3 linked regions of the Oryctolagus cuniculus genome follow. The protein of the gene in region 1 interacts with the protein of each later gene in a biochemical or structural test. Links are inferred from orthologs where the notes say so. Each region holds a gene or a part of one and is shown in the gene's direction. Other genes may lie near its edges. The genes, in order: GRB2, SOS1 and KHDRBS1.

What was found.
Region 2: the proteins of GRB2 (region 1) and SOS1 form a complex in vitro, tested with the Homo sapiens proteins (15 studies listed by BioGRID and IntAct, with this or other methods). The link is inferred for Oryctolagus cuniculus from reciprocal best matches to the Homo sapiens genes GRB2 and SOS1.
Region 3: the proteins of GRB2 (region 1) and KHDRBS1 form a complex in vitro, tested with the Homo sapiens proteins (3 studies listed by BioGRID, with this or other methods). The link is inferred for Oryctolagus cuniculus from reciprocal best matches to the Homo sapiens genes GRB2 and KHDRBS1.

What each region holds. Positions count from the first base shown.
Region 1 is NC_091448.1:5,230,548-5,233,764, forward strand, and holds the end of GRB2 (growth factor receptor-bound protein 2), read left to right. Parts: intron 1-1,477; coding exon 1,478-1,646; intron 1,647-2,146; coding exon 2,147-2,332; 3' UTR 2,333-2,681; downstream 2,682-3,217. UniProt on the Homo sapiens protein: Non-enzymatic adapter protein that plays a pivotal role in precisely regulated signaling cascades from cell surface receptors to cellular responses, including signaling transduction and gene expression.
Region 2 is NC_091433.1:163,884,156-163,887,105, forward strand, and holds part of SOS1 (son of sevenless homolog 1), read left to right. Parts: exon of another isoform or gene 1-956; coding exon 957-1,001; exon of another isoform or gene 1,002-2,554; coding exon 2,555-2,673; exon of another isoform or gene 2,674-2,950.
Region 3 is NC_091438.1:140,421,319-140,425,070, reverse strand, and holds the start of KHDRBS1 (KH domain-containing, RNA-binding, signal transduction-associated protein 1), read left to right. Parts: upstream 1-953; 5' UTR 954-1,174; coding exon 1,175-1,556; intron 1,557-3,752. UniProt on the Homo sapiens protein: Recruited and tyrosine phosphorylated by several receptor systems, for example the T-cell, leptin and insulin receptors. Once phosphorylated, functions as an adapter protein in signal transduction cascades by binding to SH2 and SH3 domain-containing proteins.

The sequences.
Region 1 (3,217 bases):
GATAGTGGGGGAGGGAATGCCAGGGCCACTGGATTGTCTTCCCCCAACCCCACTTGGTATCCTGCACTCCGGCTTCCTTGAAGCCCAGTCCTGCCACCTGCTGGCTGTTTTTGGAAAGTGTTGGCTTCTTTAGGCTTTAATACTGAAGGAGGGCCTTTGACGTTAAAATTATCTATTTACTTATTTGAAAGAGTTGCAGAGAAAAAGAGAAATCGGCTGCAATGGCCAGCACTAAGCCAGGCTGAAACCGGGAGCTTCCTCCCAGTCTGCCACGTGGGTGGCAGGGACCCAAGCACTGGGGCCTTCGTCTGCTGCTTTTCCTACGCCATTAGCATCCAGACTTGACCGTCGCTCGTATGGAATGCCAGCATTGCAGGCGAGGGCTTTACCTGTTATGGCGCAATACCGACCCAAAGGAGGGCTTTGAGGAACACGTGCTCACTGAGTCCTTGGAGGATTCAGCAGGGAACGGGACAGCAGGTGTCACTGGCAGCTCTGTGTTGCTGGCCAGCATTAAGGGGAGTGGATTTTCTGGCGATGGAGGGTGTGGGGACTTTGGTGCCTGGGCCTCTTTTGCTGTCCCAGTACATCCTTTTTCCCCCCACGGCCTTTATCCCGTGAGTAGAACTCAAATCCCCAAGTGGGAAATGACTGGAGTATTTCTGGTACCTGGAGCTTTGTTGAGCGTATCTGCTTCCTCACCTTATTTTCTATCCCACCTTTGAGATTTTAATTATTTTTGCTTGAAGCGTAGTTAATTAAGGTATATTCCTTGTCTTAAGTGAGGCTGATGTAGTTGGTACAGTGCAGGGCACAGCATGGGTTGGGACATTCCTTTTTTTTTTAAAGGTAATTTACATGAAGGGCAGAGTTGCAGAGACAGAGGAGATAAAGACAGAGAGCGGTAGGGGCGGCGGCGGGTGGGGGGGGTCTTCCATGCTCTGGTTACCTCCCCACATGGCCGCAATGACGAGGACTAGGCGGGTCTGAAGCCAGGATCCTCTTCCAGGTCTCCCACACGGCGGCAGGGGCCCCAGATATCGGACCATCTTCTGCTGCTTTCCCAGTTGCATTAGCAGGGAGCTGGGTCAGAAATGGAGCATCTGGGGCTTGAACTGACACCCGCATGGGATGCTGGTGCCACGGGCAGCGCCTCTGCGCAGTGTGCTGCAGCGCCGGCCTCATTCTCCATCCCATAAATGCCTGTAGAATTAGACCGAGTGGGGCCTGGCCTGTCCCGTGAGGGCTCTTTGTGTTGTTGCGGGTGACCGTCAGTCACGGTGAGGGTCTCGGCACGCTCAGCGGCCGTCCCACCCTCTCCAGCCAGGCTCAGTGGCGTGTAGCCAACCGGCCCGCAGGCTGTGAGGAGCGTTGCCAGACAGTGGCTTTCTCTGGACCCCTCCTGTTTGGCAGAGGGCCTCATGGGCCAGGCCAGAGCCCTTTGACCCACGTGCTGTGTTCTCTGCCCCACCCCCAGGTTTGGAAATGACGTGCAGCACTTCAAGGTGCTCCGAGACGGAGCGGGGAAGTATTTCCTCTGGGTGGTGAAGTTCAACTCCTTGAATGAGCTGGTGGATTACCACAGGTCGACGTCTGTCTCCAGAAACCAGCAGATATTCCTGCGGGACATAGAGCAGGTGCCGCAGGTAAGGCTGGGGCAGAGTCGGGCTCACCTCCAGCGGTTAGGAGCAGGTGCCTTTCAGAGGGTCACTTCCAGCCCCCGTGCTCAGGACATCACCCTTAGCTCACACAGAGGCCTGCGGTTTGCAGTCAGGTGTGTGGCTCGCTCACCACCTGTCTGTCAGCTATTCTGTCCCGGGAAGAAAACTGTGAGGGGTGTCCTGTAGGGAGGGTTGGGGCCTGTGCTCGCACCTGTGCGCCTGTCCCTGGCGGCCCAGCTGAGTCCACCACCTTATGTTTTCAAGCTCATCCAGATGTTTTGACTGCAAACCCTCGAGGGTGTTGGCAGCGACAGGAGCTCAGAGGTGTTGGATCCTGGGCTGTGCAGGAGCCCAGACTCCCAGGGGTGCTGACTATGCTGCTGACACGCCCTGGGGAGTGCAGCCCCCGAGCGTGGGTGCCCAGCGCAGGAAGGACTCCAGGCTCGGGGTGTCACACGCGTGTTTTCCCTGCTCCTCTTTTGCAGCAGCCGACGTACGTCCAGGCCCTCTTTGACTTTGACCCCCAGGAGGACGGAGAGCTGGGGTTCCGCCGGGGAGATTTCATCCATGTCATGGATAACTCTGACCCCAACTGGTGGAAGGGGGCTTGCCACGGGCAGACCGGCATGTTCCCCCGCAATTACGTCACCCCCGTGAACCGGAATGTCTAAGAATCAAGGGGAGGTTATTTAAAGCCGTGAAAAGTTGAAAACACGAAAGAATGACAGCCCCGGGCTGCCTCTCCCAGCAGCCTTGCAGGAGCCCGGACACCTGGCTGGGTCACCTCACGCCCGTGACTCTCTGACCTGGGTTGGAACTTCGGGGGGTGGGAGGGGGCATTGGATATAAAAATGCCAAAACTTACCTATTAAGAAAAGAGTTTTTATTACAGATTTTCACCGCTGCTCCTTTGCCCCGCCTTTGTCCTTTTTCTCGTCCTTTTTCTCCCGTTCTTCAGTGCATGACGTGTAAGGCCACGTATAGTCCTAGCTGATGCCAATAATAAAAGAAAAGAAACCACGTGCGCTGGTATCTTCTCTATGCAAAATGTCTGTTTAGTTGGAACAACTACTGCTGTGTTCTCCGTGCGTGCACACAGAAAGGAGCAGGCGGGCAGCTTCTGCCGGGTCAGGGTGGCGTCCGCGGGCCCAGCCTGGGGCTGTTCTGTCGGGGGTGGGAGGGAGGCGTGTCACCTGCCCCTCGGCTTCCTGAGAAAGTCGGACTGAAAGCCTCCGTCGCTGGCTCCACGTGGGAGCGGCGTCCCTGAGCATTGCTGTTTCCCATGGTGCCTTTCCCCATGTCCCGGGTTGCTTAGGAGGGATGTGTCTTACTTGTTTTGTTTTCAGATAAATTAAAGACAGTCCAAATTGGCCTTCCAGCCGGTTCGTCTCCCACTCTCTGTAAATCCTTTTCCCTCAGGGGAGGGGAAAGCAGGGTAGAGGGAGGAGACAGCGGAAGGCGGGGAGGGGGGCGTTCTACCCGTACCAAGCCAGAAGGCCAGGGTCTGAGGGAGCCGCCGGCCCTGGTGTGCCGGGGAAGGGCCGGCTGCAGCTCTA
Region 2 (2,950 bases), on another chromosome or scaffold:
GGTCAGTATATTTGTTCAGCATCCAGTTGACAAGAATTTCTAACCTATCTCTTGATTAGACAGCATAAAATTCTAAGAGAATTCTTAAGAATATTTTCCAGATGGCGAGACCAACCAATGAGTTAAAAGAAATAAGGCCAAAGATGTGCCCCAAATTTACCAAGTGTTTGAATCTAAGACCATGCTATATGTGAACATGTTCAAAGCCAACTTTACATCCATGTCTATAAGTGTGTATGCATCTGTATAATTCTTTCAAAAAGACTGCAACCTGTAATAGTCAACGGATGTGATTTTATTTTATTTCTGTATTGTACTAATTATACCATCATTTTTTAATATTGTTGAAATTAGACACTTTAAATTTATCAGTTTCCTTCAAAAAATGTCTTTCAGCCCCAAACTTTTACTGATTTTTTTAGAGTGTTTATTGCCACAAAAGGAAAAAAGCTGTATCACTTTCAGCTTGTTTGAATATCCAGAGCTGTAGTTATTTTGTGATGAGAATACCTGTCCCAGGAACACTTTTCAAAAGTATAAAGTACTAAGAAATTCCCTTTTCTTTTTAATTTGTATAAAATAATTTCTTATTTATTACTTCTTTCACAAGTTTGAATTTTCAAAATAATTTTTAGTAAATGACATTTCTGAATGGCCCCCTGAATTCTTTGCTTGATTTAATCTGTGCAACTTAGTCTTACAATAATATAGTTTTCTTGTGAATATTTGTCATTTAATTATTACATCAAACAGTAAATCTAAAACATCTTCAAAGTTCCAAATATTAACTCAGTTTTTTCTTCTCAAAAGTAAGTAATAATGAGTTTTTATTAAAAATTGTTACACCATTCTTTAGAATTAGAATGACAAGAATAACACTTTCATCATAAATTTTTACATATGGGTTGAATATATCAATGAAAGAAAAATCTACTTTTTCTTGTTTCCTTTCACAGGCAGCGATACCGTCTTTATCCAAGTAACACTGCCCCATGGCCCAAGTTAGTATATTTGGTTTAAGACTCATAATTCTTGCTTTGGCTTTAAAAAATCAAACCAAGTGTAACCTTTCCTGCTAAAACTCGTCTTGGGTCTGGCAGCATTGGTACCTTGCTTGCAACATCTTAGAAGTGAGGCCCTCACTTGTGCTATCTTTTAATCATAAGTGATTTGCTTAAATTTATATACTTTTCATGCTTTTTTAAAAACTTTTTTTTCCCTCTTTTAAAAGAACATATTAAATGAGTGGCTTCCCCCATGTAACCATTTCTCTTTTCCCACTATGGAGTTCTGAATATATTTTACTGCTCAACTTTGAAAACAGCAGCAAGAGCATGCATGCGCATATGGGAATGCTGGCAGCTAAAGCAGTGTCTGAATCACAGCTATACATAGTTTGGTAGACAGCTTAGGCTGGAGGCAAATAACTGCAGCTATTTACATGATAAGGCCCAAGTAGTTATCATTAAGTTGCATTGTAGCTCTTTGCTTTTGAAGTAAACTAACCATTCAATTCCATTATTTTAATTATATTAAGCTTACAGATTAATATTTTTGCTGTCCTTTCATAAAAAAGATTTCAAAATTTATACAATGGAAAATATTGTACACTAAAGTTAGTATACATAGTCTCTTAAGAAAAAGGTAGTTGATCATTTGAATAATTCAGAACACAAAGTGCTTTTTAAATTATTTTGTAACATTTAACTGACAAAAGCTTAATGCCTAAAGGGGAAAAAAAATCCTACCAAGTATAATTTTAGTGATTGGATGGCTTAAGTATTTTTTCATGTCCATTTTTATAGTATTTATAAACTAGCTAACTTACACATGTGTTGTCTTTCAGAGTGTAATGATTTACATACCTACATTATGCCCTTGTCACCATAAATGTCTGTTAGACAGGTTCTCAGTAGAAGCTTTACTTTGTGTGTCTGCCTTAGTCATCTTAAATAGTTTCATCGCAGCTCCAGTTTTTAGATTAGAGGCTGATTTTGCTGATACGCTAAGGATAACCTATACCTAAGCAAAATGCGGAGAAATCCTTCCCTGGACAGTAGATTCTTTCCCTTGCATCCACTGAGAGAACTGCTGGAGAGAGGCACTGGGGACAGAGGTTAGGATCAGAAACTCTATTCCCAGGAACTATCCAGAAAGACCTGGGAATTTCTATACTAACAAAGTCAGAGGCAAAAATGAACCCATCACAAAACTTAACAAAAATTACCATTCCAAAGATTTTTTTAATAGTTTGTTATCTCTCCCAAAAATCTGAGAATCAGACTCAATTAAAAATCCCAATAACAGATTGACACTGGGAATGTTATTTTGTTCAAGAATCAAAATAACAGTGTCTTAGGCAGCTTTTTTCTAAAAATTCTGCTAAGAAATTTCTGCATGCATTTATAGCAGTTTGCTTTAATAAATGAAATACTACTGGGTACTTCTACATAGTTCTTTTAATAGATATAATCAATTTCCAGCTAAATCTTTTCAAGATTAATAAATGAAATAAAATTCCCATGAACTGTTTTTAAAATGTAACATCCTACAGGATCTGCTTCAGTATCATCTATAAGTTTAACCAAGGGCACTGATGAAGTGCCTGTCCCCCCTCCTGTTCCTCCACGAAGACGACCAGAATCTGCCCCAGCGGAATCTTCTCCATCTAAGGTAAAGTAGAAAATCTTGTTATCTGGAAATTGGAATCAATACAGTTATAGTATCATCAGTTGTTTAGATATAGTTTATTTTAAACTGGGATAGATGAACATCTCAGAATATTTGGGCTTAGTTTAATAAGGATTCATGTAGTCATGTTTATTTCTTTTCTTCTGAAGTTAGTTTTGGGTATGTTTTTATAAACCAAAAGCTATTGATAAGGTTAAAGAAATATGACGTTTTAATCTGTAAAGTAAGAGTAATTTGGTTTCAAGCAGTTCTTTAAAAA
Region 3 (3,752 bases), on another chromosome or scaffold:
GTAGCCAAGCCTTTATGTTCCCTCATTAAAGGGGTCTGAGCTTCAAATCCAGAAATCACGTTTCCAAGCACCCAGCAGGCAGTTTCCAGAGACGCTTTTGAAAGTCGCGAGCTCATTTAGGAAACAGATCCGGAAGGAAAAGGGATGGAAGGAGTACTCTGAATGGGTGAAGAAAAAAAAAAAAAAAAAAAACCTGCGGCCGGAAGGGAAAGTTAGAGACGCGCCAGGCGTTCGATGACTGATAGTAGAGACCCGGGCTCCCCCGCACGCAGCTCCCAGACCCGAGCCGGCCTCGGGCGAGAGATCCGCTGCCCAAGGCCCTCGCCTCAGCACGGCCGCCTGAGACCCGGCCTCTGCTCACTCCGCGAAATAACCGCTTCAAGCGGGAAGCAGGCTGCGACACGGACGGACTTCCCCGACTAACCACGGCTAGCGTGTCAGAACCTAGTGTGCGGGAAACCTCGGGACAGCACGGGGCTCCCTGCTACGCTTCAGGTCTCCGCCCTCTCAGTTCAAGTCTCCCAGTCAGCCGGCCGTCCCCAGCGCCACCACGCATCCCGGCGTCAGCCTCTCCCTGCGCCTCCCTCCCCGCGTGCCCCACGCAGCCAGCACGTCTTCACGCCGGTGGCCGGCCCACACCCCCCGCCCGGCTCCGCGGCTCGGCCGTTGGAGGGGGCGTGGCCCACGAGTAACAGGTCTCCCCCCCACCTCCGCCCCACGCTCGCCGCCGGCCCGCGCTCAGACAAAGACATTCCACAGCCCCCGCCCCCTCCGCGCACCCGGTCCGAAGGGGGAGGAGACACGTGTCCCGCTAGCGCCGAGTCACGTGGGAGAAAAAACGAACGGAGCCCGCGGCCGTCCGCGCACGCGCGCCAAGCTCCGGCCTGGCGGGCTCCGAGGGAAAAGAGGAGGGGGGAGGCCTCCGGTTCGGGCACCACGGCAGTGCGCAGGCGCCGTGGCCCGACTGGGGACTTTGTTCTTCGCGGAGAAACCCAAGGGCGGTGCCGGGATTTGGTGCGCACGCGCGCTGCCTCATTTCCGGTGCTCTCTCTGGCTGGGTCGCTCGGGTCGGCTTCGGTCGCTGTTGCTCCCGCTCTACCACCGCCGCCGCCAACCGCCGCCCGGGCCTCGGCCGCGTCGGTCCCCTCGATCGCTCGATCGCACATCCTCCGCGATGCAGCGCCGGGACGACCCCGCCGCGCGCATGACCCGGTCCTCGGGCCGCAGTGGCTCCATGGACCCCTCGGGTGCCCACCCCTCGGTGCGTCAGACGCCGTCTCGGCAACCGCCGCTGCCTCACCGGTCCCGGGGAGGCGGAGGAGGGCCCCGGGGGGGCGCCCGGGCCTCGCCCGCCACGCAGCCGCCGCCACTGCTGCCGCCCTCGGCCACGGGTCCCGACGCGACGGTGGGTGGTCCGGCGCCGACCCCGCTGCTGCCCCCATCAGCCACGGCCTCGGTCAAGATGGAGCCTGAGAACAAGTACCTGCCCGAACTCATGGCCGAGAAGGACTCGCTCGACCCGTCCTTCACTCATGCCATGCAGCTGCTGACTGCAGGTGAGCGGGCCTCGGGGTCCCTCGGGGTCGCTGGACCACCGGGGCGGGAGGGGTGCGGGAGGAGGTTGGCAGCGGCTTTGTTCCTCTGGCATCCCAGTCCCTCGGGACCGTGGCGGTCGGGAGCTCCCCCTCTGGCCCTCGTCTTCGGGGGCCTGAAGCCCGCCTTCCCACCCCGGCGCAGGGTTGCTGCGGGCGCCCGAAAGCGACTGGGAGATCTCCGAGCGCCGAGCTCCCCGCCCCCTTCCCGACCCTCCCCCTCCCTCCTCTCGCAGCTGCCCCGCGCTCCGAGTGCTCAGATTCTTCCAGAAATGAGCCCGTATCTCCCGCGTCCCCCCCGAGGGGAAGGCTCTTGGGTGGCGGGGAGCGCCTCGGCCGTGGGTGTCGGCGCTGCAGGCAGCCCGAGCCGGCGGGGATCGTGGGAGGCCGGAGGGCCCTGGCCGGCGCGCGGGCGTCTCGCGGGCCCGGCCGCACTTGGCCGTCACGGGAGCTGGAGTTGCGCCGAGGCACAGCGACTCGTGGGAGTCGGAGCTTGAGGTTTTCCGAATCAGATGTCCGAATCGGGCAGGTGAAATGAGGATTGTGCAGAGCCGGAAGGTTGTCGCCGTTTTATTTTACAACGTGCTTTCAACCGTCATTCAAGAAGCGGGGAAGCAGCCCTGGGGACAGTGAAATGAGATGACGGGAGGCGGTAAGGGCTGCAGGGGAGCTCCCAGGACGGGCCCCACCGCGAGGGACGGACCGTGGAGAGAAGTTGCTCGGTGCCTGCACCTGGAAGACTTGGCCTTTTGTGTTCATTCTTGCTTCCGTGGCGAGATAGATGGGAATGGTAGTCTTTGTTCTCCGCGGACGGGAGCTTCTTCCCTCGGCAGCCCTGACCCCCTCCCTAATCGCTCTGATTTCTCACTGCAGCCTCTTTTTGACCTTTTCTTATAGTTAGAAATGTTTTTCAAAGAAATATTTATTATACCTAAATGGTAGAGTAACAGTTCATGGCCTTCGACGCTGAATGAGAAGTCGGAGCCATTGACAAGATTGATACAAGGGACAGTTCATTGACAGTTCATTATGAAAATCTCATTTCCTTCCCTTTGTTCTCTCTCCCAACACTGGTAAGGGTTTTTTTTTTTTTTTAACGCAATAAACAATTAGAAAATTTCGATAAATTGCTTAAGATCTTTAACTCAGTTCTGTGCTGTCCTATATAACCACATTCTACTTTTCCTGTTTTCTTCTGACAGGCTCTTTGAGAGCAAGAATTGCTTTTTATATTTAAACATGTTTTTTGGTACTGTGCTGGACATAGCAAACTCCAGGTGTTTGAAAATGTACACATGCAAACTCAGGAATGTCAGACTAATTGGTAAAGTTTGGTTTAGCAGTCGGATTTTTAATTTTCTCAAATCTTCAGGCAGTACGCATTGCATTAAACGCAGGAGAATAAAGTACACTTTAGAGCCTAAAGGTGTTGACTTGGTTCTCAGCGCTGGCCCTTAATTAGTTACCGGCTCTGGGGAAGCTTTCTGAACCTCAGTAACCTCATTTGTAAAGTGGATGGTAAGTTTGGAAGATTAAATGATCTGTAAAATCACCAGCAGTTTCTTTTGATCTGTATCATTAGCTAGAAGAAGCTGTCACCACAATTTTTTTCTGGTTGTGAATCCATGGTAATGAACAAGGTATGAGAACTTAAGATATATTTTGCCCTTCTGACTATCTCCATTGCCCAGCGTGATGTTCATCTTTTAAGATAGTTTCTTAGGATAACCATTAAAAATCATTGATCCTTAAAGATTATTTATATTTTTCATTCTCTCACTGCTCCTTATTTTTTTTCAAACTTGGGCTTTTTTAATGCCTTTTTTTTTTAACCTAAAGAGGATGGAAATATTGAGAACAAAATTGGGTTGTGTGGATACTTCTTAGCATAGAAAAGTCTTAATGTTTGTTGGATATGGTTCTTAAGGTATTTCTAGAGAAGAGATTACAGTGAAGTCAACCAATCATAAGGAAATGAGACTGAGAAGAAAGAATAGTGTTTAATCCCTGAGAACATATATTAGAAAAACAGCTAACGTTGTGTCAGGCCCTGGATTAGAGCACTTTACATATTCATGACAACACTAGAAGTTATTCTTTTTTTTTTTTTTTTAATTTATTTGACATGTAGAGTTTACAGACAGTGAGAGAGACAGAGAG